4 linked regions of the Elephas maximus indicus genome follow. The protein of the gene in region 1 purifies or fractionates together with the protein of each later gene. This does not show direct contact. Links are inferred from orthologs where the notes say so. Each region holds a gene or a part of one and is shown in the gene's direction. Other genes may lie near its edges.

Region 1 (7,410 bases):
TAAACATCCTTCTGGTATTCTCTGCTTTCAGCCAGGATCCATCTAACATCATCAGTGGTATCCCTGGTTCCACACCCTCTTCTGAAACCGGCCTGAATTTCTGGCAGTTCCCTGTCAATATACTGCTGCAGCCATTTTCGAATGATCTTTAGCAAAATTTTGGTTGCGTGATATATTATGATACTGTTCTATAATTTCCACATTCGGTCAGATCACCCTTCTTGGGAACAGGCGTAAATATGGATCTCTTCCAGTCAGTTGGCCAGGAAGCTGTCCTCCATATTTCTTGGCATAGACTAGTGATCACCTCCAGCGCTGGATCTGTTTGTTGAAACATCTCAGTTGATATTCCATCAATTCCTGGAGCCTTGTTTTTCACCAATGCCTTCAGAGCAGCTTGGGCTTCTTCTTTCTGTACCATTGGTTCCTGATCACGTGCCATCTCTTGAAATGGTTGAACATTGACTAATTCTTTTTCGTATAATGACTGTATACTCCTTTCATCTTCTTTTGATGCTTCCTGCGTCATTTAGTATTTTCCCATGGAATCCTTCACTATTGAAACTCGAGGCTTGAATTTTTTCTTCAGTTCTTTCAGCTTGAGAAACGCCAAGCGTGTCCTTCCCTTTTGGTTTTCCATCTCCAGCTCTATGCACATGTCATTATAATACTTTGTCTTCTCGAGAGGCCCTTTGAAATCTTGTTAAGTTCTTTTACTTCATCAATTCTTCCTTTTGCTTTAGACGTTCGAGAGCAAGTTTCAGAGTCTCCTCTGACATCCATCTTGGTCTTTCTTTCTTGTCTTTTCAATGACCTCTTGTTTACTTCATGGATGATGTCCGTGATGTTATTCCACAACTCGTCTGGTCTTCAGTCACCAGTGTTCAATGTGTCAAATCTATTCTTCAAATGGTCTCTAAATTCAGGTGGATATACTCAAGGTCATATTTTGGCTCTCGTGGACTTGCTCTGATTTTCTTCAGTTTCAGCTTCAACGTGCATATGAGCAATTGATGGTCTTTTCCAAAGTCGGCCCCTGGCCTTGTTCTAACTGATGATATTGAGCTTTTCCATTGTCTCTTTCCACAGATGTAGTCAATTTGAGTTCTACAAGATTAGGTTGTGTTTTAAGTCAACCTCTTTTGAGATATAAAACACAGAAGTGAGCAAAGAGACAGGGCGACCCCATACCACCAAGAAATAAGAGCCAGGAGATTAGCATGTCCTTTGGACCCAGGGTCCCGGTGCTGAGAAACTCCTGAACCGGGGAAGACTGGTGACAAGGACCTTCCGCCAGAGCCCATGGAGAGAGAGAAAGCCTTCCTCTGTAGCTGGAACCCTGACTTGGGATTTCAAGCCTCTTAGACTGTGAGAGAATAAATTTCTCTTTGTTAAAGCCATCCATTTGTGGTTTTTGTGTTATAGCAGCCCTAGATAACCAAGACGGCAACCTTATATGCAACACAGCGAAACAATGCCCAGTCCTGCACCACTAATAAAACCAAAACCAAACCAAGCCAAACCCGTTGCTGTCAAGTTGATTCTGACTCATAACGACCCTACAGGACAGAGTAAAGCTGCCCTATAGAGTTTCCAAGGAGCACCTGGTGGATGTGAACTGCCAACCTTTTGGTTAGTAGCCGTAGCACTTAACCATTAGACCAGCACGGTTACCGTGGCACTAATAAAGATGTCAATTATCCCCTATCCTATTGCTGTGCAACGAACTGCTTTTATATGGCCTCTTTCTCCATGGTTTTGTGATGCCTACAAAATGATTGTTGTTGTCAGGTGCCGTCCAGTCAGTCCCAACTCGTAGTAACCCAGTGCACAACAGAACAAAACACTGGGTGATCCTGCGCCATCCTCACAATTGTTGCTATGCTTGAGACCATTGTTGTAGCCACTGTGTCAATCCATCTTGTTGAAGGTCTTCCTCTTTTTCAGTGACCCTTTATTTTACCAAGCATGATATCCTTCTCCAGGGACTGATCCCTCTTGATAACATGTCCAAAGTATGTGAGACATAGTCTCGCCATCTTTGTTTCTAAGGAGCATTCAGGTTGTACTTCTTCCAAGATCGATTTGTTAGTTCTTTCAGCAGGCCATGGTATAAGCAATATTCTTCTCTAACACCACAATTCAAAGGCATCAATTCTTCTTTGGTTTTCCTTATTTATTGTCCAGCTTTCGCATGCATATGAGGTGATTGAAAGCACCATGGCTTGGGTCAGGTGCACTTTAGTCCTCAAGGTGATATCTTTAAAACGTTTTTTCAACACTTAAAGTGTAACCTGCTACTTTGCTAATAAAGCCCGTAAGTGTGAGTATGGTCTGTGAGTTCTGTGTGGCCATTGCAATGAATTACTGAAGCCAGCAGAGAAGTAGCGAGCGCCGTGGGAGGGACAGCTGGCGTCAGAATTGGTACAAATGTTGGTGGGTGGAGGCACGTCTGACCTCCACCTCACAGCCCTTGGCTGTTGATGCTGATAATGATTTACCTGCCTCCTTGTGAAGTCAGACGAGGAGATTTGATGCCCGGATGCCATTCTTACACCTATTAAGGTTTTTTTATTTAAAGAAATAGACAAGTTTACTCTAAAATTTATATGGAAAGGCACCAAAATCAAAAAACCTACTGCTGTCACGTCAATGCCAACTGACAGGAACCTGACGTGTTACAGAATAGACCTGCTTCATAGAGTAATCCTCATGGAAGTCACTCACCAGGCCTTTATTCCATGGCACCAATGAGTGGGTTTGAACCACCAACCTTTCAGTTAGTAGTCGAGTGCAAATCATTTGTGCCACCCAGGGACCTCGCATGGAAACCACAGGCCCTAGAATAACTAAAAATAATTTTTCTGAAGAAGAATAAAATGGGAGGAAGCACTGTACCTGATATGAAGGCCACAACAATCAAGGCAATGTGGTGTTGGCAGAGTGACAGACACATAGATCAACGGAACAGAATAGAGACTTCAGAAATAGATGGTACAGATATGCTCAACTGAGTTTTTGCAAAGGTGCAAGAGCGAGTCAATGGAGAAAAGACAGCCTTTTCAACAACTGGTTTTGGAGCAACTGAACAGACATAGGCAAAAAAAAAAAAAAAAATTAACCTTAAACCTCACACCTTATATAAAAATTAACTCAAAATGGATCTTAAGCTTAAACGTAAGATGTAAATACATAAAACTTTTAGGAAAAAACAGAGGAGAAAATCTTTAGAATGTAGGGCTAGGCACAGAGGTCTTACACTTGACACCAAAATTATAATCCATAAAAAGAAAATTTGATAAATAGGACCACATCAAAATTAAAAATTTTACTCTGTGAAAATCCATGTGAAGAGGCTGAGCAGACAAGCTACAGACTGGGAGAAAATGTTTACAAACCATATACCCAACAGAGGACTAGTATCTAGAATATATAAAGAACTCTCAAAACTCAACAGTAGAAAAGCAAAAACGATGGCATTATAAAATGAGAAAAAGACATGAAAAGACATTTAATGGAAGAAGATATACAGATGGCATATGAACACATGAGAAGTTGTTCAACATCATTAGCCATCAGGAAAAGTATAAATCAAAACTTCAATGAGGTATCATTACACATCTATCAAAATGGCTAAAATAAGAAATAGTACCACCACCAAATGCTGGCAAGAATGCTAAGAAATTGGATTGTTCATACATTGCTGGTGGGAATGTAAAATGGTACGGCCTCTCTGGAAAACAATTTGGCAGTAATTTATAAAATTAAAAATGCAATTATCATATGCCCCAGCAATTGCACTCTTGGGCATTTATTCCAGAGAAATGAAAACGTGTAGGCACAGAAAAACGTGTAGACGAACTGGATAGTAATTTTAGTGGTAATAGCCCCACACTGGAATTAATCTCCATGCCCTTCAACAGGTGAATTGTTAAAGTGCGGTACATCCATGCCTGGAACTCCTTCACCAAACAGGTGTGTCCCTCATTCCTCACCTCCTTTAGGTCCTTACTCAGAAGTCACAGATACATTTATTTCCTTGACCATCTTATAAAAATATTACTCCAACAGTCCGTATTTCCTCCAAGGCATTTATTGCCTGCTAACATTTGTGTTGTTAGCCAAGGCAGGCAGATTTATTGGTAGCTTTTGAAATTTTTGAGATTTGGTAGTGCAGTGCTTAAGAGCTTCGCAGCTAACTAAAAGGTTGATAGTTCGAATCCACCAGCCGCTCCTTGGAAACCCTAGGGGCGGTCCTACTCTGCCCTATAGGGTCGCTGAGTCGGAATCGACTAGACGGCAACAAGTTTGATTTTTGGTTAACATTCAACATGTTTTACTAACTTGTTTGATGTCTGTCCCCGCTCCTTCCACCGCTTCCCACCCCGAGGATGAGCTCCAGGAGGCCGGGGGTTCTGATGTTTTGTTCACTGTTGAATTTCCAGAGCCTGGAACCGTCCCAGGTACATACAAGGATCACAATTTTCAAATATACGAACGGGGGTCCGTGTTCTTGAGGGTGGAAATTGGGCAGGGAAGGCTTTTTGGGTGTCGAGGGGAACCTCAGAGAGTGAGCTAGGAATAGGGGCAGAGGCCACAGTCCATGCGAAGGTCTCCGTTTGAGTCCTGATTACGGAGATGCTCGCCGCGCAGATGGAGCAAGCTTGTTCAGGGAAGTAATCACAGGCAAAGGCTTGGAGAGCAAAGAGCGCGTCGTCGCCAGAAGCCTGGGGAATCCCCGCCCACCGCGCGCGCGCCGGGCCACAGGCGCCGCAGAGGCCCCGAGGGGCGGGGCAGCGTGGTTGCGTCACCACCGTGCGTCGCCGCGCGCCTGCGCTCCTTTCCACGTGCGAAAGCCAGAGACGCGTGGAGTCGGGGTCGCCGCAGACTTGGGAGCCGCGCAGTTCAGCGCTCACCATGAGGCCAGGTGCAGGCCGGGGTTGGGGTTGGGCTCGGGGACTGGGACTGGGCTGGAGTCGGGATGCCGGACCGGAATTGGGGGGCGGGGCCTTGGCGTGGGGGCAGGGGCTCTGAACCTGGGATCCGGTCTCGTGTGGGGCTGGGGTTCTGGTTTTGTGTGAGGCGGGAAGCCTGGTTCCTCCCTGGGATCAATCCTGAGCCCGGGGGGCGGGTTCCTGGTGTGGGGTTTGGGACTGGCTTCGGCGGTCGCGAGCTTGTGTCGAGGGTCTTGGGCCTGGGGTTGGGGGGTCCTGAACTGGGATTTGCCTTATTCGGACCGTCATTAGGCGTCCAGGATGTTGGACCGGGGGCGCCGCTTGGCTCAGTCTGGATGCAGACACCTGAGGTCTTGGCTCTCTCTGGGCGTGGTTTATGGGGATCCGTTTTGGGTCGGGGATGGGCAGTCTCAGATTTTGGGTCCGGGAGCTGGATGTGGGAGGCTCTCCGTTTGCCTTCTCTGTCTGCCCCCACCATCCCCTTGACCCCCCACCCGGCTTCTCGGAGAGCGCCGGGAGTGGATGAGGATCTCCGCTCGGCTTGATAGTCTGCAGCCCGCTCTGAGTCACTTTCCCGCTCTCTAGTCTTCCCGAGAGCCGGTGGCTGGGGATGGAGGGGAGATTGTGGGCCTGCTGATTCCCAACTCCGCGGTGAAGTGAAACTCCACAAGACCAAAACTGGTGGGAGGGGCGGGGAACAGGAGCTAGTCACAGAGAATGGTTTTATTCATTCGGTTTTCCCGAATTCTGATGAACCCATCACGGCTTCTCATGATGGAATGGTGGAAGTCTTGGCTTTGACAGCAGACAGGCCTCAATTCAAGGTTTCATCTCTGGCTCTGCTTATTAATCTCTTGGTGTAACCTTGGGCAAATGGCATTACTTTTTCGAGACTCGGTTTTCTCATTAATAAAATTACGCCCGGTCAGGATTAAGTGAGAGCCTGTAAAATTGAAACAACGCTTGGCATAATTGCTTAGTGTTGGTATCTTGGCTTTCATTGTTACCATTCTCAAGGAGAATAAAATTAGGGTCCTGTCTTAGCTATCTAGTGCTGCTATAACAGAAATACCACAAGTGGGTGGCTTTAATGAGCTCGGCTGCTAACCAAGAAGTCCACAGTTTGAATCCACCGGCTGCTCCTTGGAAACCCTATGGGGCAGTTCTGCTCCTCCTGTAGGGTGGCTATGAGTCGCAATTGACTCCATGGCAACAGGTTTTTTTTTTTTTTTTGGTTAGGAGGCTAGAAGTTCAAATTCAGGGTGCCAGCTCTAGGGGAAGGTTTTCTCTCTCTGTCGGCTGCGGTGAAGGTCCTTGTCTCTTTGAACTTCTGCTCCTGGGCAGTCTTCATGTGGCTTGGCATCTCTCATCCCCCATTTCTGCTTCTCTCCTGCTGAAGCTCTTTTATGTCTCAAAAGAGATTGACCCAAGACACACCCTACACTAATCCTGTCTCAACATAGCAAAGACATCTCATTCCCAGATGAGATTATAGCATTGGTAGAGAGGTTAGGATTTACAACACACAATTTGGGGGGACGCACTTAAATCCATAACAGGTCCTTATGCCTGCTGTCTCAGCTTCTGCCCCTCCCCTCAGGCCCATCCCCCTTCTCCTCCCCCCATGAGAGAACTTGCTTCACTGGGTTTGATCAATCTCCTACCCATGGCCAGAAGGGCCCTTTTTTTGTTCTTGTTGTTTTAAGCACAGGTTTTCCTTTTTGTTTCCTTTTTTTTTTTGGATGTCAAGGAGATGGTGTCATCTGGGAAGGGGGAAATTTGTGGATCCATGCTCCCCTCCCAAACTCCCTTTCTTAGTATTTGGGGATCTGATGGGGTGGATTGGGGGGTGGTGCTAGGCCAGGCATCTCAGTGAGATTCTGGCATGCCTGCAGGCATCCTGTCATCTGTAAATGGTGGATACACTTTCTACCCCAGCCCAGCCTCTTCCGCCTTGTATGGTAGGATGTGAGGCTGTAGAAGTTGTCAGGAGCCAGCTTGTTAGTAAGAGTGTAATCTGAGTGAGAGAGAAAGCCTTTGGTAAACTTTGAGCAGGGATGGGGTACAGTCTGATTAGTATTTCTTAAGGGATTGGCCTTGCTTCTGTGTGGAAGAGAGACTAGAAGGGAGCAAGAGTTGAAGCAGGCACACCAGTGGGAGGTTGCTACTGTAACCCTGAAGGAAGGACATGGTGGCGGCCTGAAGCAGTGTTAGCAGTGGACGTGGCCGAGCAGTGGGACTGATTGGGAATATATTTTCAAGGTAGAAACCCACAGATTGTATGGAGGGTATGAGAGGAGTCAAGGATAGCTAAGGGTTTGGGCCTGTGTAACTGGAAGGATGGAGTTGCTGTTTGCTGAACTGGGGAAGGCTGTGGGAGGAGAGCTGATTTGAAACCAGTGTATTTGTGGAAGGGCCCTCTACAAAAAAAAAACAAACTTCCAGAAGTGTGTGA
Region 2 (7,205 bases), on another chromosome or scaffold:
GAATCCATCGGCCACTCCTTGGAAACCCTATGGGGCAATTCTACCCTGTCTTATAGGGTCACTATGAGTCGGAATCGGCTAGAGGGCAACGAGTTTGGTTTTTTGTTTACAGGATCTTGAGGGAGCCCTGGTATGCACTGGTTAAGTGCTTGGCTGCTAACAGAAAGGCACAGGGCACAGAACCAGCTGCTTTGTGGGAGAGAGATGTGGCAGTCCGCTTCCATAGAGATTACAGCCTTGGAAACCCTATGGGGCAGTTCTACTCTGTTCTATAGGGTTGACTCAATTGCAGTGGGTTTGGTTTTGACAGGGTCTTGGTAATGAGTGGCTGAGACAAACACAGTGCTGAGGGAAGTAGGAAGGCGGTATTGGGGCCCCCTCACCTTGATGGCCTTCCTTAGGCTGCGGCGGGTCTTGTTGACCTGGTGCCAATAGTGCTGGGCCTGCCAGATCAGAAAGAGGCAAAGCACAAGTAGGTTGCCGAGGCACCGAGGGTCCCTGCAGCTGCCATTTTGGGAGAGCAGGCTCCGCACTGGCTCCCACTCCGGACCCTGGAATGGTCCCACCAGGGCACAGGCGCCCAGCAGTGGCAGCAACATGGCAAAGCATTGGCCAGGCAGGTGGTGTTGGGGAGTTGAAGGGCAGGACCTGTCTGGCTGACCCAGACAGGTTGGGGTGGAGTAGCCTCCGCCTCATAGCACCCTTGTCACTGAGGCCACCTCACAAAGGAGCATGGTGCCCCCGCCTCAGCTCCAGCCACTGGGCGTGGGTGCAGGTGAGAACAGTGTTGGCACACTGACCAAAAGGGGTTAAGGGGAAGACAAACTTGTTGTAAAGATCCCTGTCCTCTGGAGTGAAGAGATTAAGTTTCTACCATGTATGATGGGGTGATGTACCCTGTGGTCTGCTTGATTTCTTTCTTCCTGTGAGTGCTTTTCATCCATTTGTCCATCTGCTTCTCCATTATCAAAAATTTAACCAACACTGTATTGAACAGGGAGTCCTGGCGGCTCAATGGCTAAGCACTTGGCTGTTAACTGAGAGGTTGGAACCGTGGAAGAAAGACCTGGGGATCTACTTTCATAAAGATTACAGCCGAGAAAACCCTATGGGGCAGTTCCACACTGTCACATGGAGTTGCTCTGAGTCGGAAATCAGCTCCACGGCACCCAACAACAACGTTCTTGTTTGACCACCCAGCATCCCTTCCTACCGTATCCTGATTTCCTGTTGAGGAATTACTTTTCCCATCTCAGGAAGAGTGTTGGTGAGAGAGTACATGTTATCCTGATGACTGTCTTCCACCAAAAAGTTATATTTAAAATGCTGGGTAACTGAGCAGGCTGAGGCATCGACCGATAAGAATGGGCCAGGCCTTAATCCTTCAGTTGTTGGATGGTGAGTGGTCCCTGGGGCCCCGGGGCAGGGGCATCAGCTATTTACCAACTGTAGGACTGATTCAGCTCTCACAGTCAGCTCCCCTTGAACCTCTGAGATCCATTACAGAGTCTTCATCAAAATCTCTTTTTGGTTGCTTGCCCCCAAAGATCCCTAAGTGAAACAAGTCCCTCCTTTGTGAGAGGCATGCTGCCAGGACAGTTATCTAAAGTGCCCATGGTAGCTGCAGGCCCTGCTTTCATTGAGCTCTCAGTGTGCGTGGGAAGGCAGGACTGAATCAAGACAAGGCAAGTGAGTGCTACAAAGGACAAGTACTGGGGCTTGTAGGAACATCCAGCAGGGGCATTTAGCCCAGTCTAGGTAATCAGGAGGCTCCACTGGAGGGATAGCCACTAGGAGTTAGCCAAGCCAGGACAGTGGAGCAAATCACTCCCAGCAGAGGGTGACAGGTCAGTTTGGAGAGAATGGAATGGGGTGGGTTTGCAGTAGCAAAAGAAGATGGGTGGGGCTGTAATATGGGAGTAGGGTGGGAGAGTACTGGTGGAGAGGGCACTGGTAAACCATGGCAATTTAGAATTCAAGAATAAAAAAACAAACAAACAAAAAAAACAGTTGCTGTTGAGTCAATTCCAATTCATGGCAACTCCACGTGTGTCAGAGTAGAGCTATGCTCCACAGGGTTTTCAATAGCTGATTTTTTTGGAAGTAGGTCACTACGCCTTTCTTTCAAGGTGCCTCTGAAAAAAAACTCAAATTGCCAACCTTTTGGTCAGCAGCTGAGCACATTAACCATTTAACCACTTGGATAGTAACAAAAGGTTAGTGGTTCTACTGCTCCCAGAGGCATCTTGGAAGAAAGGCATGGCAATCCACTTTCAAAAAACTCAGCCATTTGAAAACTCTCTGGGGCCTAGTTCTACTCTGACACACATGGGGTCACCATGTGTTGGGATCAACTCAAAGACAACTGGTTTGGTTTTGGTTTTCTATGGTAATAGACAAACTCAAAGACAACTGGTTTGGTTTTCTACGGTAATAGACAAATTTCTAAAACAAATTGATCCTGAACATATGTCATCATATATTAACTTAATAGGCAAGGGACTTACCAAGAAACAAAAAGATGGACTGGTTCTGAGAGAACATGGAAGTTGAATTATTATACAGGTGGGAAACAAAATTCATCAGGTGCTTAGGTAAAGTGTACTGTGTCATCACTTACGATCATAAAAACATCTTTCCATATCAGTTGTTACCGAGATCTGGGATATGATGGTCCAAGAGGCCAGGTAGGCAAAATTAACAATGAGAAATTGTTATAAAAAGACATCTAAGAAGCAAATGTTAAGGACACATCTACGGCTGTAAATTAGAATGTCTCCTTCCCCAACAGTGGTGGCTGCTAAGTCCGGTTGACATGGAAACATGAAACAGGATCCAACAGAGCTGCGGAGCAGGGTCCAAGTCACAGGTTCTATCCTTAAACAGGAGCTATCAATGGGCATTTCTTAATTTGCAAACAATGTTTTCACAAGTCATCTCAGATTTACATGAGGTGAAGTTTGATGGGGACTCTTTAATGGAAAAAATGTTTGGTTGTGGAGCCAGTTCAAACCCTTCCTGTTGTCCCATCCCGTAATATGATAAAGCAGAGCAAACAGATATGATGGAAGTAACCGAAGCCAGGAGCCAAAAACGCCAAGGTCCAGTTCTGGCTCTACCACGACCTCACTCTGTGGCCATGGACAAGCAGATTCCCCACTTTGAGCCTCAGTTTCCCCATCTGTAAAATGAAAGGTTTGCATTGCATGATTCCCAAGGGTCCTGCCCGGTTTCAACTTTTCAGTTTTCAAAGGCATTAACGGGAACTAGCCCAAAATGTCCTAGTTTTGGCTTCAACCAAATAGTAGAGGTATGAGAAAGGCCAGAAGGATCAGAGAGAACCTCTTGGATGTAGTGAGGCATGAGTTTAACCCAACATAATGGAGATTCGGAGCAGCAAAGAGAAAAGGGCGAGATGCTAACCATGAGAAAGAGAGGTCATAAGACATCTCCAAACTCAGCCTGACACAAGCTGAACCCCCATCCTCCAAACCTGCTCTTCCTCTTGAATTCCCTGCTCAGTGGATCCCAACTCCACTCCCCACCAGAAACTTTTACAAAACATAGCTTTAAATGAAGGGAAACATTTAGGATTACTCATAATTATGTCAATACACTTCCCTCGCTGGTGTATTTAGAACGATGATTTTGAAAGCACAACAAAAATGTGTTTATATAAAAAAAAAAAGCCAGCAACGGAGTGATGACACCATTGAAACCCTTTGTTTTAGTGCATTTTTTTCTTCTAATGTTTAACTCATTGTTTCTTCCTTTAAGTAGAATGATAATGCTAGTCGCCATGGAGTCAGCTCCCACGCATGGTGACCCCAAATACACAGAAGGAGACGTTGCCTCGTCCTGTGCCATTCCCATGATCACATTCGTAGGGTTTTCATTAGCTAATTTTTGTCTGTGACCACCAGGCCTTTCTTCCTAGTCTGTCTTAAGCTGGAAGCTCTGCTGAAACCTGTACACATGGGTGATCCTGCTGGTATTTGAAAAACCAGTGGGATAGCTTGCAGCATCCTAGCAACAAGCAAGCCAGGGGCACCACAAACTGACAGGTGGTAGAGAATTGTAACAGCTGAAAGCCGCTCCCGACTCGGAACTGACGCCGTTTCTGCGCCCACGTCCCCCGACGGGCTGCGATGTCCGCCACGCCACTGTGACGTTACTTCCGCTTCCTGGTTTGCGCGGCCATTTCTGCTCCTCCGTGCAGCTTTCCGGCGGAGGCGAGCGCTTCTGCTCAGGCTTTGGCCGCGTTGCTCCAGGAGTGACGAGACCGCGGAACCGCAGCCATGGTGAGTGCGTTCGCTGGGCCGGGAATCGAGAGACTCGGGGTCGGTTTACTCGCTGGCCTGTCGGGGGCCTAAAACGTGCGCCCCGTCGCCCTCCCGGCCCGCGGTTGGGGCTCCGGCAGCCCAGGCTTAGAACGTGCGCCGTCTCGTCCGCCCGGCCCGGGGTTAGACTTCATGCAGCCGCGTGATCCCAGCCGCCCGGCCCGGGGTGAGAACTGGGGAAGCCCTAAGTGCCTAAGCATTAGTCGGGGGCATACCTGGGCTTCGGGGAAGGAGACCAGACCACGTGGGGGAGGGTAGAAAGGCTGACGGAAGAAGCCGGTTCCACCCTTTTTCCTTTTTTTGGTATCTTTTTTCTAAAAGATGGCGTGGAGCCCTGGGGTTCTGTCAGACACCCGCTCCCATGGCTGGGGTTCCCGAGAGGGAGATGTTCGTGGTTGCCCCTGTCCCTACCGCGAGTGACACGTGCTGGGGAGTAAAGGGGCGTCTGAAGCGGGGGAAGACTGGAGTGACTTGGATTCTGGGCATGGGGAGCAGGAAAGTCCCTTGCGAGGCGGCGGCTCAGAAATGAGGCCCTGGTGGGACCACGTGCGGCTCCATTAAACTCTTGTAATTAGTCGTCGAGGGAGAGTTGGAAACCGGGTATCCTGGTTGTTAGTTTTGGTTGGCACTTGGAAGGGAAGGAAGTGTTTGCAAAACACTTCATGATGAGGTTTAATCCGCTTAACGGGGCTCCGGAGCCCGGCGAGACTGCCCCCGGTCTCGCGCTCCCCCCTCCGCAAGTTAAAAGCTTGTACTTGGCCGAGCTTAGAGCTTGAAGTTTACAAACCAGCGCTCATCGTGCTGTCAGCTCTGTGAAAAGTTCTGAAATCAGACGGTCTCAGGTCGAACTTCGCAGCAGTTTTCCTCAACTGTAAAATCGTGTTAACAGTGCCTGAGAATGTTGTGAGGATTAACTGAGATAGCTAATGCATGTTAAACATCTGCTCCTGATTTCATGGTCTGGTGTTAGATTAGAACCTTGCAGGGCTGGGCTGTCTGGTGTCCAGGGAGACCAAACTAACCAAGCTTAACTGAGTTAGGGGTATGATTTCATTCGTTCATTTAATTCTGCTCCTAACTAACACATGAGAGAATTAAAAGGTGAATGACTACACTAAGCAAGTTTCACTTAGTATTTACAAGCTAGGCAGTTTGGTTTTAAAGTTGAGCCTGACTTTATTTTTTTAAGTGAATTAATATGGAAACAATAAGGTGAGTCCTCTTTAGTGGTTGTCCTGGCTCCGGAAGTGTACCCGTTTTTGCAGTTACTGTTGAGAATTGAGCATTCTCCTTTCCAGAGATGAATTGTTGGAAGCCACGCTAGAAATAAGTGGCTTTTTTTTTTTTTTGAAGTGTGCGTGTATAAATAAAAAAACCAAAAACCAAACCCACTGCTGTTGAGTCAATTCCAACTCATAGCGACCTTATAGGACAGAGTAGAACTGCCCTACAGGGTTTCCAGGGAGCGCCTGGTGAATTCAAACTGCCGACTGTCTGGTTAGGAGCCGTAGCTCTTAACCACTACGCCACCAGGGTTTCCGTGTGTGTATGTATATACATATATATGTATATATATATGAGGAGTGTGTGGAGTTAAAGTGTTGTTGGGTTCTTTATGGTTTGGGAGGAGGTATTCAATTTTGATCAGTTTAAGGATGCGTTGTGATTTCTCAGGTAGCTACCAAAAGAACAAACATACCAAACCAGTAGAGGGGGAAATATTAAAAAAAATAACTCCAAAGGAAGGAAAGAAAGAAAAAGAAACAAGTGGGACAAATAGGAAGCACAAAAGGGAAGATTTGAACCCAGTATATCAGTACTTAAATACAGAGTCTAAATGCTTAAGATAAAAGACAGGTTGTCAGTTTAAATTAAAAAAGAAAAGCCCAATTATATGCAGTTTACAAGAGATCCGTCTAATACGTAAGGATACAGAAAGGTTGCAAATGACAAGAATGAAAATAGATGCTAATTAAAAATAAGGTGTAGTGTAGCCTATATGGAAACTCTTGGTGGTGTAGTGGTTAAGAGCTATGGCTGCTAACCAGAAGGTCGGCAGTTTGAATCCACCAGGCGCTCCTTGGAAACCCTATGGGGAAGTTCTACTCTGTCCTGTTGGGTCGCTATGAGTCGGAATCGACTCAGTGGCAATGGGTTTGGGTTTTTGGGGTTTTTTTTGTAGCCTATAAAAAAAAAATTTTTTTTTTTATATAAGTATCAGAGAGAGAGAGAGATTTTAAGGCAAAAGGCATCAGTAAAAATGGAGGGTGGCTACAAAATATGGTACAAATAAGTGAAACTGACAAGTACAAGAAGGACAAATACACAATTGCAGAGATTTTTTTAAATTGTGTGATTGATACATCATGCAGACAAAACGTGAAATAGGGGATTTGAACAATGCTGTGAATAAACTTGATCTAGTGGACATAGGGGATGTAGTAAATGAACGCTGCAGGCAACAACTATAGAAGACGCTTTTCATGCAAGGAACGTTATGAAAACTGGCCACCTAGTAGGTCATGCAGGAGCCCTGGTGGTGCAGTGGTTAGGCGCTTGACTGCTAACTGAAGGGTTGGTGCTTTAAACCCATCAGCCACTCCGAGGGAGAAAGATGGGGCAGTTTGCTTCCATGAGGATTTACAGCCTGGGGAGCCCTGTGGGGCGGTTCTACTCTGTTGCTATGAGTCAGACTCGACTTGATGGTAGTAGGTTTACAGGCTATGAAGCAAGTTGCAATACATTTTAAAAGACTGATAATAATACAGACCATGTTCTCAACCAAAATGCAAATAAGTTAGAAATAAGAAGTTAGGGTTTGGAGATGAAGGTATTAAATAACTCATGGATGAAATAAATTATAAT
Region 3 (7,779 bases), on another chromosome or scaffold:
GACTTCTAATCCTGGTGCTTTCCTACTTGATTTTTAGAGCAGAATACAACTTAGATACACATTGGAGTGATTTATGAAACTGATTTAGTTTCTGTTTCTGAATTCAATATTATGTTGTGTTCATATCAACTAATCCATAAATAATCATTGTTTAAAAACTGACTAAAGTCAGAGTAAATTTTTCTGGAAACCAAAGAGAAAATGGCCAATTTGAATTAAAAGAATACATGAACTTTCCAAGGGGAAACATTAAATAGAAATATCGATAAACACAATATTTAAGTCAGTGTATCTTATATAACTTGTCCTACAAATTTGGAACATAATGACAGTCATATATCCCCTCTTTTCCCTCTGAAATAAAAAGTTTGATCCTAATTATGGATGAAATTAGTAGTCTAATCATTAATGAGAAATGATCCAAATATAGTAATTTGAGTGTACATCCCTAACGAGATATAATCTGGAGACAAAAAGAATTCAGCTTTTCAACTGTTCCAACTTTTTTTTTAATTATTTTATTTTTTGTTCTTGTTGAGAATGTACACAGCAGAACATACACCAATTCAACAATTTCTACATGTACAATCCAATGACATCTATTACTTTCTTTGAGTTGTACAACCGTTCTCACTCTCATTTTCCAAGTTGTTCTTCCTCTGTTAAAATGAACTCACTGCTCCTTAAATTTCCTATCTAATATTTTGAGTTGCTGTTGTCAAGTTGATCCCACACAGACCTTAAAAGAGCACCATGTTCAAGGCAGACATTCTTTACTAATTAAGCTAAATTCTCAACATTATTAATAACAATAATAACATTGGTACTGTTACCCTGAAACTCTTATACACTGGTACTGTCTTAGCTATCTAGTGGTGCTATAACAGAAATACCACATATGGATGGCTTCAACAAACAGAAGTTTATTTTCTCACATCTAGAAGGGTAGAAGTCCAAATTCAGGGCTCCAGCTCCAAGGGAAGACTTTCTCTGTCAACTCTGGAAGAAGGTTCTTATCATCAATCTTCTCCTGAACCAGGAGCTTTTCAGCACAGTCCAAAGAACAAGTTCTTCTCCGGGCACTACTATTTTGATGATATGAGGTCCCCATGTCTTCCTACTTATTTCTTTCTTTTATATCTCAAAATACATTGATTTAAGACACAATCTAATCTTGTAGATTGAGTCCTGCCTCATTAATATAACTACCTCTAATCCTGCCTCTTTAACATCATAGAAGTAAGATTTACAACACATAGGAAAATCACATCAGATGACAAAATGGTGGACAATTGCACAATACTAGGAATCATGGCCTAGCCAAGTTGACAGATATTTTGGGGCGACATGATTCAATCCATAACAAGTATAAACCAGCATCAGTTGCCTTCAAGTTAGTTTTGACTCAGGGTGATCTCATGTTTGTCAGAATGGCACTGTGCTCCATAAGGTTTTTGATGGTTGATTTTTCAGAAGTAGATTGCCAGGGCTTTCTTCCAAGGAACCTCTGCATGGACTTGAATCTCCAACTTATTGGTGAGCAGCCGAGTGCCTTTACTGTTTGCACCACCCAGGGACTTCAGCAAGTAATAAAGCATATAAACATTTTATTATCTTTTTAATGTCTGTAGAATCAATAGGATGTTCCCTTTTTTATTCCTAATATTGCTTATTTGTACCTTCTCTATTTTCTTTTGAACAGTCTCACCAAGAGTTTATTAACTTTATTAGTAATATCAAAGAACCAACTTTTGGCCTTCCCGATCCTCTGTATTGCTGGTTTCCTTCTGGTACACCCTTAGTCTTAGGGTGCAACTCTTAGGTGTTCCATTCCAAATTTTGAGGGGTTTGCTAGGCCTTCCATGCTTGATGGATCCAGTGTTCAACTCGTGCCCCCTACAGCACTTTTCAGCCTCTTAGCCACCTCTTCTGTAGTTGACAAATGCCACAAGGGGAAAAGTGGCACCAAATTTTGAGCTCATCTCCTTGGAGTCCCCTGCTCTCCAAAATCTTGGGCTTCTTCATTATGTTGTTAACTTTTAGAGGACCTCATGCAATTTTTAAGAAATATTTTATCCAGCTTTTACAGTTGCCCACAGCAGTAGGTCTAGTCCCATTACTGAAAGTAGTTCATAGCTTTACTTTACAAAATTAATGTTCACTTTACTTCTCTTTTAAGATTGTTTTTAAAACAATATCACAAAATCATTTAAATTAGTGTTCCTCAAATTGCTTTTCTTGGTGGTCTAGAAAAGGTGGGCAGTGACGTGGACAATACATGTGTTCAATAAAGCGGCAACAATCAGCAGATCAGAGGGACTGCAACACTAGCTTATGCCAGAGCAAGGGAAGACAGAGTTGTGGGCAGCAGTCCAATGATTGTGTGAGAACGAAAAACCCCATGCCCAACCTCTGGGGAACAACGAGGGAGGCTGTGTGATCGTGGCACTGAAAACAAACAAACATACCCGTTGTTACATAGATGAGAATGTTAATTTATTAATTTAAAATGAGGCTCATTACAATCACTCAAATACTGACTGGTGTTGCTGTTCTGAAAACGTGCCAGACCGTTGGGACTAAGTGCCTTCCAGGACTTCCAGCAGGCAGCTTGTTGAGGCTGGTTTATATAGGCAAGATCATTTACAAAATACAAGATGGCATGTGCGGTGGTGGTGAGCATTCCAGAATGTGTAAGCATTTTCTAGGGCCTAGGTTGGATTCCCTGTGCAAGAGAAGTTAGCCATTTCTGTTCATTAGCATGTCAGCTCTCCCGTGACCTGGGGACTGAGACAATTAACGACCTAAAGGTTACCTAGAGTGCCAGTTTGGAGGGCAGGACCTGTTTCAGCCGATTCCAGCTAGCTGGTTGCTGTTTCTTTTCAAGGAAGTTCTGAGGAGAAAAACAATTTCAGGAAATGGGCTGGGTGAGGGACTGTCCAGAGGAGACAAAAATTTTAAGAAAATGGCTTTAAAAAAAACAAAATTAGCCCTGTTTTATTAGCACCTTGAAATACTTTAACTCCATCATTGCCTCATTCCATTCATTCATTCCTTCATATATGGAGCCCTTACTATGTGCCAGACACTAGCCTAGTGCTGGGGTTCCAGCAGTGAACTTTCATGAAGTTTGTATTCTAGTTTGGAAAAAGAGTGGGGGCTTTAGGGGTGGGGAGAGGACAAGAGAGCCATGTTTCTTGTCCCTGTCATTACACAATGTTCAGCCACTACTAAAAATACAAGCCCTCTGGTTGTTTATACCCTATGTCCTATTCCTCACACTGCTTTGTGTTTTCTCCCCTTGACCTAGTACTTTCTTTAATATTGAGGCTCTGACTTTTCCCTTGCAGAAAGGAATTCCCGGACAATTATTGGCCAAGATCCAAATCCAGTATCAGAAGCAGCTCTGAATTCCTGACTAATACATCATATTGAGCTGATTATGTAAATGGCAAAGTGAAAGAACAACTTCAAGGAGATGCCACAGTAAAGTGATTTGTCATTGAATAAGGGTTAGTTTCATTTGCCTTTGAGTAAAGGCTGCAAGGCTTTAGATACAAGGAAAACAATTTTACTTTCTGTAGACATTTAATCAATAAATGTTTAATAATTACTTAATGGGAAACCCTGGTGCCGTAGTAGTTAAGTGCTACAGCTGCTAACCAAAAGGTCGGCAGTTCGAATCTGCCAGGCGCTCCTTGGAAACTATGGGGCAGTTCTATTCCGTCCTATAGGGTCGCTATGAGTCGGAATCGACTCGACGGCAGTGGGTTTTGTGGAATTACTTAACGAGATTCTATTTTACAAGTGTAAGACCCTGTATAGATACAAGTGTGTTTAAGATACAGACTATACTGTCTCGCATATGGCACTTCCGCTAGGGAGACTAGACAGAAACATACTCTGAAGTTATATAACACTTCAAAAAGACCCAGCGCTTCCACCTCATCCACCCTACCCCCACTCCCCTAGTCAAACCATTTTAATTTTTCTTGCCTTTCTGAAGAGGCCATCATCAGCAATGCTCTTGTGTGCACCCTAGATCCCCTTCTCCCTTCATCCTGCCTCATCCCTCTTTTCTGTTTTCAACCCAGGTTTTCTTTCCTCTTGCTTCCAGGTTGCAGTTATAGGGGAAAATTACATCACTTAGTGCTGTATAACCTTGAGCAGGCTACAATCGAATGTTTACAATCTGCATATGGGGCCTGGGAAGTGAGGAAAGAAATTTTACTCCTATTGGAAAACAGAATTGGGATATTTAAGTCCAGTTACTAAATTACATTAAGACAAGGAGGCTAGGTCTAAATTCATACCCTACGTAATTTTTGCAAATGCAACAAAAATGGGGAGAGATCCACTTTATATCTGAAAGAAATCTACGCTGAAAATTAGTTTAGCCAGAGAGAAGAGAACGGCCGGGAGTGCTCGCAAATACAGTTAAGAGTGATGAGACCTTCAATTCAAGGCAGGGAAAAACAGTAAAGTCTAGCGGCACTAGCTAGCATTTCCTAAATTCCAGACGCCCCAGGCAGGTAGGGCCGACGTAGCCTCGCACTCCTCTATAGGTAAAATACAGCACCTATGGAGGTAAAAAAATTAAACGAAGCTTTTTTCTTCATTTTACCACACGACCTAGCCGTAAAAAAACTCCGTTCGCCTCCTATGAAATCTCGCGATAATTTCATGACCCCACCCCCCACCCCCCCTTCGGCGGGAACATTCCGGAAGTGACGACACGGACCAATCGGCAGTGACGTCGCTAGCCTAGAAACCTTTGCTAGGGGGAAGCGCGTTCTTGTGTTCTATCTGCAGTACAGTGTGGAACGTTGAGACAACGTGGTCTGAGAATTTGGGTGGTGGTGTGCGCGCCTTTGCATTTCCAGCAGCGGCCTTGCGGGTCTTTGGGGCTGCAGATTGGCCTCTTTCCACCGATATCGGAGTTCGTGGTGGGCCGCGCGGCTCCTTGACCAGCCCTCACCATGTTGGTGCTGTTTGAAACGTCTGTAGGGTACGCCATCTTTAAGGTAGGTGAGATTGGGTCGTTGGAGAAACGAGAGAGAAGGCCAATGTTGGGCAGGCGAGGGAGCGAAAGACCTGAAGAGAGGACGAGACTGTTCAGGATTGCGTGGGTGCCTTTATGTGCCCAGGCTCTGAAAGGAAGGGAAAGACTTCAGGCTTGGGTGGACCATGTTCCAGTGAACACGTGGCCCCGCCGTTTGGGCGGGTTGGACGCGTTGGAAAGGTGGGCAGGAGCGGTATTATCCAAGCTTTTCATCTTATGATAAGGAGTTCTGATTTTATTTTGAGTGCTTTCAGAAATCGTTGGAAGGTTTTAAGCAAAGGAAAGACCTGATCTAATTTATCTTTCAGTATGTTTGCTGTGTGGATACTAGATTACAGGGAGCAGTAAAGGAAGCAAGGAAGTTTTTGCATTAATCTAAACAAGATAAAATGGCTTGAATTAAGGTTGGTATGGAGGGAAACAACGAGAGAAGTTTAGAAGATAGAACTGCTGATGGAGTGAGTGGATTTTTGTTTTAAGTAAGTGAGTGCACCGTGGTGCCGTTTACCGAAGTGGGAAAGATTGGAAGGGAAACAAAGTTGTGGGTTTTGGGCGGTTCAGGGGCACTAAAGGGTTCTGGCTTTGGCGATCTGTTAGAAGTGGAAGTGCAGTTGTTACGTAGATCCAGCAATTCGATATTTCAAATTCGACGTTTAGGGGAGAAATCTGGATTGGTGATACCAATTTGAGACGTGTTCATCAGCACAGGAATGGGACGTTCGTACAGTGGAAAACTATGGAGATGCTAAGAATAAGAAGAACGAGGTTAGACTGAGGGCCTTCCAAGTGCCAGGCACTTTGCTCTGAATATTGCGGTTGAGTCGGTTCCGACTCATAGCGACCGTACAGGAAAGAGTAGAACTGCCCCATGGGGTTTCCAAGGAGCGGTTGGTGTATTCGAACTGCCGTCCTTTTGGTTAGCAGCCGTAGCTCTTAACCACAGCAAAGTTTGCACATATATGCTACGTTGATATATACTGATATAAAGCAGAAAGTCCTAGATAAGACATACATAAGTGCGATTCCAGTTGTGAATCAAGAAACGCTTCTATGTATATTGTATGGACGCAGAAAGTTTGAAAAGTATATACCAAAATACGTGGGAACGGAGAACTTTTCGCTTTCTAGTTCTCTATTCCCGGAATTTGAAAATACACTTCAGTTTGCATTTGTTACATCAAATACTTGTTATTTTTTAATAAAATAATAATAAAAAACCAAAAGGTGACTGCATGTTTTTCCTGTCACTGGGATTATCTGTAATTGCAGTATTCGCAGTTTAATGGACTTTTAAGAGACCCTTATTCCACTTTAAAGTCCTAGAACATCTCTATTTTGTTTTTCCCACCTTTTTAAAATATTTCCTAAACTCTTAAGTACAGTTCTGAACATACCCCAAATTCTCTTAGCCAAATTCTCTTAGCCAGTAGGGTCTGTCAAATTCTGAATCAGGGCATGTTGATGAACTTTCATTGCAAACAATTATGTATACAATTCTGAATTGGATGCTTAGAGGAACTCCTCATTAGTCAACTTGTCTCCAAATGTAGGAAGGAATTGGCCTAGCAGTAAATTGACTGGTTTCTAGACAGGGGTCATAAAGCATTCAACTTTGTCTCTTGATGATTTAATAATTTCTGTTAATGAAGAGTATCCTGCTCCACAAAGTAAGTCTTGAATGTTCTGTTGCTGTTTTCAGTTACAGTTCAAAATTAAGTTGTTTATATAGTCTCATAATTAGAGAAATAAATTGTCAGGCTTGAGTATATTGAAATTTTTATTTCATTTATAGTTTGGAATTATAGTATTTACCACTTGATTCTGAGTAAAAAGAGACATACAGAATATTCTGGAATTAGATTGTGGTGATAGTTGTACAACTAAAATTATACTGGTTGCATAAAATTTATGCTTTTATGGAAATGCTCTAAGGTGTTTTCCAGATTTTTTTTTATCTTGATTCACAGTAAAGAATATCTTTTATATCATGGCCCCAGTGTACACATACATATCCGTATAATATACAGTGTGATTCAAAATAATTAAATACCTTCGACAATTGATTACTCTGTAGCTAGGTTATATATGAAAGTAAAGTCACATTAATATGTAAAACCAAAAAACCCATTGCTATCCATTTGATTCCGACTCATAGCAGCCCTATAGGGCAGAGTAGAACTGCCCCCTTGGGCTTCCAAGAAGCAGCTGGTGGATTTGAACTGCTAATCGTTTGGTTAGCAACCAAACGCTTAACTGCTGCACCACCAGGGCTTGAATATGTAAAGGAACTATTGTAGTTATTTCTAGACTTGCAAAGACTCGATTTGGGTCAGTTGTCATAATGTGAACACAACATAAGACTCAAGACATCCTTTAGTCTTACTTCATCTCAGACCTTTTGTGGCTGTGATGTCCATTATGGTAGCCACTAGGCACGTGTGGCTGTTGAACACTTGAAATGTGGCTAAAGTGACTGAGGAAATTTATTTTATTTAAATCTAAATAGCTACATTGAACAGTGGAGCTGTGTAGCCTGTCATCCATCATGTGTCCGTTGTTTCCTCGAAGTTTTGGGAAAAGATACTTTTGATGTACAAAACGTTCATATGTAACTTACTGAGCAATATATTTTTTCAAGCTTTATTGAGGTATAATTTATATGCTTTATAATTCACCCATTATAAATGCACAGTTTGATGCCTTTTAGTGAAATTTAT
Region 4 (7,103 bases), on another chromosome or scaffold:
GGGCCCTCCAGTAGGAGGCCCCTGACTGCTGCCACTGGTTGGAGGGGGGCGCTGCGTGACTCCTTCTAGACAGACCCGCGGGCAGCTTGGCCCCGCTCTGAAGAGCAGGTGTGCCCCCTGTGAGGCCCCTGCGGGCTGAGCCCAGCTGGGCCCAGCAGCCAGGACATGGTGAGGCTGTGGGCCACAGGTGCAGCGCTCGGACCTAACGTATTGCACTGAATGAGACCAAAATCACTGGTTGTGTGCGTCTGTGAAGGGTGTGTCCAGTGTATCCTCTCGGTGGGTCCTGTGTCACTGTTTACATGATCTGTTTGTGTGGTTAAATAGCCCTGAAAAGAGAGAGTAAGTTCCTTTTACGAAGTTATTAAATTATATGTTTAAAAGCTACAGAAAAAAAAAAAGCTGCAAAGTATTTATAAAACTGTCTTTTTAAAAAAAAAAAAAGAAAAAAAGGCAAGAAGAGCATTTGACCCTGTCAGTGGAAAAGGGAAGAAAGCGTAACAGAAGCTTTGGTAGTTCAAAAAAAGAAAAAAAAAGCCCTTTCTTGTAAATTTATGGACAACTCTTTGTGGCTGTTGGAGTTTAGTTTTTATAAACACAGAGTTATCAGACATTATTTATAAAACTTAGTTTAAAAAAAGACAGAAAAAAGAAAAAAAAAAAAAGCCAAACCGCGAACCCCCCCAGGCGCGTCCTAACGTCCCCTTTGATATCTCTTTTGCAATTGTACCGAAAGTGACTTAGGCCTTGCCCTATCTGCTTCCGTCTCTTGCCGGTGCCGTGGTTTTGTTGTGCCTGGTGAGGTCTTGTGTGGCCGTAACGTGCTGGTGCTTCTGGTGACCTTTGACCTGTGGGTGTCACTTCTCGTATCTGTTCCCCCGTGTTTGTTTTTGGGACTTGGTTGTGATCTTGCACCTGCTGGCTTGCCGGGCCAGGGTGCTGGGCAGCACGGCCTCTCCTTCTTCCCACGCTACCCTGTACCCCTTGGTGGCCTGGCCTTGCTCTAGGTGTATGTTGGATGCAGACACTGGGCTCTGCTCCCCACCCCTGTTGACCCTCAGCTTCCTGCGTGTGCGTGTGTGTGAGAGTGCGTTTGTGTCTCTAGGACTTGGGCTGGGCCAGTGACAGGGCAGGTGGAACTGGGGGCCTCTCAGTGGCCTCCCGTACTGCCTCCATGTCCACTGCCTCTGGCCTTGGGCGGTGGCCTGGCAGGGACCCAGGAGTCACTGTGGGTGCCCATGGGGTGTGGCCCAGCTGCCCCATCTGTCTTCCTCATTGTTTCTTATCAGCAGCACAGGTCTGGCCTCAGCTTTGCTCCTGGGCTTCCCTCGTGACCTCTGTCAGCTGCTGGGCCAACACGGGGGGCTATGACCCCACCGCCCACTTGTCCCAGAAGTGTTTCAGGGCTGGGGTGGTGCTTCCCCAGGAGCAGGGCTTCTTCGTATCCCTGCCTCGCCCCAAGGGCCTGGGGAGCGGGTCTCTATCAGTGCCAGCAAGGGCTATGACCTCAACGCTGGGCCCTTCCCCCCTCCCCCTGTGCAGGCCTACAGCTCTCAGCTCCAGGCCCTTCTTCCACCTCCCTTTGGGATCTTTGTCTTCCAGGGACCAGCTGCTTGGCTTTCAGAGGCACTTCCGCTCAAGCCAGGGCTGCTGCCTCCCCATGCTGGCCACTGGACGGGCAGATGACCCTCCAGCCTTGGTACGGGAAGCTCCTGGTAGGGTGTGTTGGGTCGGCTCACAGCATGGCCTGAGATGCTGCAGCTCTGTTTCTGGCCACGGGGGCTTGGCTTCTCCCAGGGTTGCTGGCCCGTATCTCCAGAGCGCTAGAGAATACAGGTGAGGGTTGCTGAGGAGAGTAAGAAGCGAGGCGGGCACCCGGGACAGCCTTGAGGCAGTGGTGTCTTGTCAGCGAGTGTGGCCACACACGTGCTTGCGGTCGTGGCAGGCACGTGCCATACATGGTGTAGCCTCTCTGGGGCTCTGCTCAGATGCTCCTGGCTGGCCCACAAACAGCTCTGTGACTCCAAGTCCCTCCATGGTTTAAGCCCTCCCTGGCGTCGGGCTTTGTCCCTCTCGGGTCCAGGCTGCATTGCCAGGGTGGTGATGTAGCAGTGAGTTCCAGCTGTATCACCAGGAGCCTGAAAGAGAGGGTGTGATGTGGTGGAGCGAGGAGGACAGACCTTCCATTCCCTTGCTCTGTTCTCACTTTTGTCATTGGCGTGGGAGCTTGTCGTCTATCTCTAAGTGCCTCTGCAGGCCACATACGGCCAGCTGGGAGAGCAGAGGCAGGAAGTGGGTGAGGCGAGGAAGGGCTTGATGGTGAGCATTGTGGCAGCAGGTACCGGTCCTTAACTCAGCCTGTGGAAGAAGCTGCTCTGGAGTGAGTGACATCGTGAGAATGCCGTGCTTGCATTCATGGTGTTTGGACTTGAAGCCACTGTTCTGGGTCTGCGGGAGCCTTCCCGTCCTGCCAAGCCAGCCCTAAGGGGCTGCTCTGCCCCTCTGCCCCTCTGCCCTTTTCCCTTGGTTTCTTGGCACTAGATCCGTGTCCACGTGTAACTGTTTTGTGTCTGTCTAATCCTTTGTTGATTGAGTTTTCTACCGTGAACGTGTTGTGTTCTGTTTTTTCCTTTCTCTCCTGAACTTTCCTGACACAGCGAGTCGAGGCTTGGGCCGAGGCCAAGTCTTCAAACTTGTCCGCTACGTAAACCAAGATGCGCATCCCTTTCTGACCCTGAACTTGCCCCAGCTGCACCCTTATCCCAACATGGACACTCGGGTTTCTGAAAACAACCCTGAAGTAACAGGCCAGCTCTGCTCGAAGTGTCTGACCTCACAGGGCCTCCCCATCCCCAGCTGCTGCTCTTTGGTGGTTCTGTGTGGCACTGGTGTATTTGCTGGGCACCTGCCCTCCCTGGAGGCTGGAGGCTTTTCTGCTCTGGGTCCGTGCCTCAGGTCTGCCCACTTGTCAGCATCCTCTGGTCTCAGTGCCTGGCCATAGCACTGACTAGCCACAGCCTGCCCTGGGATACCTGGTCAGGCCCTGTCTTGCCTTGCTGCCTGCCTCTCTGGAGTGGCCCCTTGGCTGTACCTCCCTCTCGACAGCTCCCTGTCTGCAGCTGGAAAGCCGAGCCACAGCCTGCAGGGCTGTTTCCGCTCTGGGATCTTGTGAGTTATTTTTTTAGGCTGTGGTTTGGTGAAAGGAACCAACACATTAACGATTTTTCCCCCCAGAAGCCACTGAATAATTCTTTGTGTTGCTTGTTTTCTTCCTGCTGGCTATCAGTGGCTTTGGAGCAGCCGAGGAGTGTGGAGGACATGGTGGGTGCCATGCGGAGGTGGGAGTGTGCCCGCGGGACTGCCTATAGCCTGTTCTGCTATGTAGTATGTGTCCTGGGCAGGTGGGGCACCTGAGTGCCAATGGCACCAATTTCTACCCACCCCTAGGAGTAGCAGCCTCTACGCACTGGGTGTCTTGTGGGTCGGAGCCCGGTGGACTATGACATCTCCCAGTTCTGGGTGACGCCAGTTGGGTTTTGGCCCCCTTAGCCACCTCCTGCCCTTCCCCGCCCCCTCCACATCCCTCACCCTGCTTAGTCCCGAAGCCTTTAACCAAACGGGAGTGGGTACAGAAAGCTCCTCCTGGCAACTTAGGGCAACAGGACAAGGGCTGCCTGGTGTCCGGCTCTGCCGCCCTTGTGGCGCTGAGAGGGGTCGGAGGGAGTTGGTGAGACCCTGCCCAGTGCTGTGGCCGGGACGGTGGGGGTTAGAGCGGGCTGGGCTGGCCGGGCGTGGGGCCGCCGCTCGGGGCAGCGGCCGGCCTGCGGCCGCCACCCGCCCTGCGCAGTATTTATTGCTAAATTATTGTCCAGGAGGGGCGGCGCTGGGCCGGGCCCCCCGGGTATTTATTGCTGTACATAGTGTATGTTTGTGATATATAAGGTTTTCTTTATTTTGTATATGATCAATAAACACCTTTTAAAGAGACTGGCAGGTGCTTCTTTGCGGCTGGGCTGGAAGGTGCGGGCTGATGGGGCGGGGCCGGAAGGGGCGGGGCCTGACGCGCGCATGCGCCTGGCACGAGGCTGCCGGCGAGGCGGAAGCGGAAGCGCAGGTGCCGGGGAGCGATGGCAGCCGGCGGTCTGAGCCGCTCCGAGCGCAAGGCGGCGGAGCGAGTCCGGAGGCTGCGGGAGGAGCAGCAGCGGGAGCGCCTCCGCCAGGTAGGCCACCGCCCGCGCCCCGCCCGGGCCAGGCCCCACGCGACCCTGACCGCTCGCCCACGCGTCCGCAGGTGTCCCGCATCCTGAGGAAGGCGGTCACTGAGCGCAGCGCAGAGGAAGGTCGGCTGCTGGCTGAGAGCGAGGACCTAGTGACAGAGTTGCAGGGCCGGAGCCGGCGGCGCGAGGGCCTGAAGCGGCGCCAGGAGGAGGCGAGTCCCGCGGGCCGGACGGGCGCGGCGCTCCGAGGGCGTGCTTCTCGCTCTGCGCTGGCCGGTCCGGGCCACTCGGTTGGCCCGATGCCCCGTCGCCTCTCCTGAGGTGACAGCAAACGTGGGTGCCGGCGTGGATCGGAGGAATGGGAGCGCTTCGTAGTCCAGAGCGTGCTTCGTGTCAGGCCTCGTTCCCAGCGTGTCTCAGACGGCATTCCTGCCGTAGCTGTCATCTGCCTGGGATTGCTTGGCCCGGCTTTTTCAGCTCCTGGGGTGGGGGGCAAGAGCGAAGGATAGGGCCATGACCAGTCTCGGCGTCTTCGCAGGTATGCGATGACCCGGAAGAGCTGCGGAGGAAAGTCCAGGAGCTGGCCAGCGCCGTCAGGAACTCCAAATACTTGGTTGTCTACACAGGCGCAGGGATCAGCACGGTAGGGACGGGTGAACAGCTGCGCCCCGGGTCACCCCACGCCCTCCGGACTCTTCCCCTAACCCGTTGCCGTGGAGTCGATTCTGACTCATAGGACTTTTCCTGGCCCCAGAGAAATTGAGAGCGCGCGCTCCATGGGTCACGTGGCTGCCGGTCCCAGGGGTGGCCATGGGGCGCCCTCTTCTGGGTGACGCACCCCAGAACAGAGTTCAGCACTGTAGACTGGGGTGAAAAACAAAATAGAACAGCTGTAAAGTGTTTTCCTTTCTTAGAGAAATACAAACGGCACTGCCTAACAGGGAGCATAAAACTCCCAACACTATAAAGATGCTGGAACTCTGTTACACCTGGTTAAAGACAAGAAAAGCAGAGGAGAAAAAACAGGACATAACAGCTTAGTGCTTGCAGGTACTTCCTCATTTGCGGTGAAGGAGGTTAACCCGTTGGCCCACGGTCATGTAGGCAGAGCTACCCCTGCAGCTGACTCCTGAACCTGGCTTCTTCGTGGTTTCTACACGTTGGAGGAAAATAGAAAGTGAGACTGTAAGGATGCGAATCCTGATTTTTTGAGGAGCTGTGGGACATGACTAGCTTTGGAAGTGTGACTGGCACATACTCTGTCTAATACGATGGTTCTGTGTTGAGCGTCAGGCACGTGTCACCCCACAGAGGTGAACACCAACTGATTCCTGTTTTTTGAGAAACCTGTTGTTAATGTGACAAGGCGTGTAAACAAACAGTGGTAACGTGGAGTTGAATGTGTGAGGGGGATGTGACAAATCCAGGCTCTGCACTCGGTGGGGTCAGGGAGTGGGGAAACTCAACTCAGGTTGGCTTTTAGGGAGAGGTGGCCTTGAACTGGGGTAGTGAGAATGTGGAAGGTTCTCGGTGATCTAACCTGTGAGCACCTGGAGCCCAGGCAGTCAGGCTTCCCCCCTCCCTACCAGTCAAATGTACAATTCAGTCATGTGGTTACTGAAAGACAGGACTGTGGCCTTTTGGAGAGCTATCAGTGGTCCTAAAAGCCAGGTGCTGCTCATTAGTGTGATGGGAAGGCAGGTCCTTCAGCCCGGAGAGCACAGGCACCTGGGTTTTGGCAGCCTTCTTTGTCCTTTTCTCTCAGATAGGCTCGTTTTCCTGTACCGGAAACTTGGGAAACAAACTAGCATTTCTTCTCATCTGGAGAGATTGTCCTGGTTTTGTTAAAGTAGAACAGGAGCCTCTTAGAGATAAAAGGATCAGATGTGTAAGAATTTGGACAGAAGAGCCTTCCCACTTAGGGGTCCCCCACTTGCTGGTGTTTCCTGAGTATTGGGCTCAGCCTGGGGACACTCAGAGGAGCTGAGCAGTGCTTCCCACCATGTGGAGGGCAGACATGGCAATACAGCAGAGGTTTGTGGGTGGTGCTAAGGACTCCCAGAGTGGGTGGCCTCCTCCAGCCTTGAAGGATAAGCTGGGTGCAGTGGGGAAGGGGGAGTCTGGGAAGGCAGGAGCCACGGGTGGTACACCCGTCAGGCAGGTCAGGCGCTGGGTCTGTAGGGGAACAGGCAGTCATGGGCTGGCCCTGAATGAGGCAGGAGAGACGCCTGCTTCGTGTTCTTGGAAATTCAGTTGGTCCCGACAGTGAGACCCTTTTACCAGACTTGTTTTCTTTCTGGACATGCAGGCGGCTTCCATTCCAGATTATCGGGGCCCCAATGGAGTGTGGACGCTGTTGCAGAAAGGGAGAAGTATCAGGTAAGCAGACCTCAGCCACCCACTCCACCCCGGGGCCACTGAGCAAGAGAGGAGGGCAGGGCAGAGCAGCCTGACCCTGCAGCACCCTCACCTCACTCTTCCCCTGACCCGGCAGTGCCACTGACCTGAGCGAGGCCGACCCGACCCTCACGCACATGAGCATTGCCCGCCTGCATGAGCAGAAGCTGGTAAGCACATGGGTGGGCAGCACACAGGAGCCTGGGGAGGAGCAAGGCCAGTTTCGGCCAAGGCTCCTCTGCTCTAATGGCCTCAGTCCCAGAGCTGCTATGGCCCCTGTCCTCATGCTCACTTGTGTTACCCTCGCAAACCTCAGACACAGCCCTAGTCACAGGAGGCGGTTCACAACGAGTGGGGGAGGGTGGTTTCACCTGGGTCTGGAGGGATCTGAGACAGTGACCCAAGAGTGTGCACTTTGGGCAGAGCGACCCCCGCCGTCTGCCTCACTGGAGCCCCGAGTTCCTTCCCAGCTAAGAGGGGCGCTGCTAT

The links.
Region 2: the proteins of FBL (region 1) and SNU13 purify together in Homo sapiens (affinity purification with mass spectrometry; 5 studies listed by BioGRID and IntAct, with this or other methods). This does not show direct contact. The link is inferred for Elephas maximus indicus from reciprocal best matches to the Homo sapiens genes FBL and SNU13.
Region 3: the proteins of FBL (region 1) and NOP58 purify together in Homo sapiens (affinity purification with mass spectrometry; 7 studies listed by BioGRID and IntAct, counting the BioPlex papers as one, with this or other methods). This does not show direct contact. The link is inferred for Elephas maximus indicus from reciprocal best matches to the Homo sapiens genes FBL and NOP58.
Region 4: the proteins of FBL (region 1) and SIRT7 purify together in Homo sapiens (affinity purification with mass spectrometry; 3 studies listed by BioGRID, with this or other methods). This does not show direct contact. The link is inferred for Elephas maximus indicus from reciprocal best matches to the Homo sapiens genes FBL and SIRT7.

Annotation. Positions count from the first base shown.
Region 1 is NC_064829.1:111,675,940-111,683,349, forward strand, and holds the start of FBL (rRNA 2'-O-methyltransferase fibrillarin), read left to right. Parts: upstream 1-4,391; coding exon 4,392-4,463; intron 4,464-4,767; coding exon 4,768-4,927; intron 4,928-7,410.
Region 2 is NC_064822.1:185,823,436-185,830,640, reverse strand, and holds the start of SNU13 (NHP2-like protein 1), read left to right. Parts: upstream 1-4,185; 5' UTR 4,186-4,298; coding exon 4,299-4,301; intron 4,302-7,205.
Region 3 is NC_064824.1:101,105,861-101,113,639, forward strand, and holds the start of NOP58 (nucleolar protein 58), read left to right. Parts: upstream 1-4,760; 5' UTR 4,761-4,979; coding exon 4,980-5,024; intron 5,025-7,779. UniProt on the Homo sapiens protein: Required for the biogenesis of box C/D snoRNAs such as U3, U8 and U14 snoRNAs. Part of the small subunit (SSU) processome, first precursor of the small eukaryotic ribosomal subunit.
Region 4 is NC_064837.1:71,705,595-71,712,697, reverse strand, and holds the start of SIRT7 (NAD-dependent protein deacetylase sirtuin-7), read left to right. Parts: upstream 1-4,097; 5' UTR 4,098-4,127; coding exon 4,128-4,220; intron 4,221-4,291; coding exon 4,292-4,429; intron 4,430-4,755; coding exon 4,756-4,860; intron 4,861-6,525; coding exon 6,526-6,596; intron 6,597-6,711; coding exon 6,712-6,784; intron 6,785-7,103. UniProt on the Homo sapiens protein: NAD-dependent protein-lysine deacylase that can act both as a deacetylase or deacylase (desuccinylase, depropionylase, deglutarylase and dedecanoylase), depending on the context. Specifically mediates deacetylation of histone H3 at 'Lys-18' (H3K18Ac).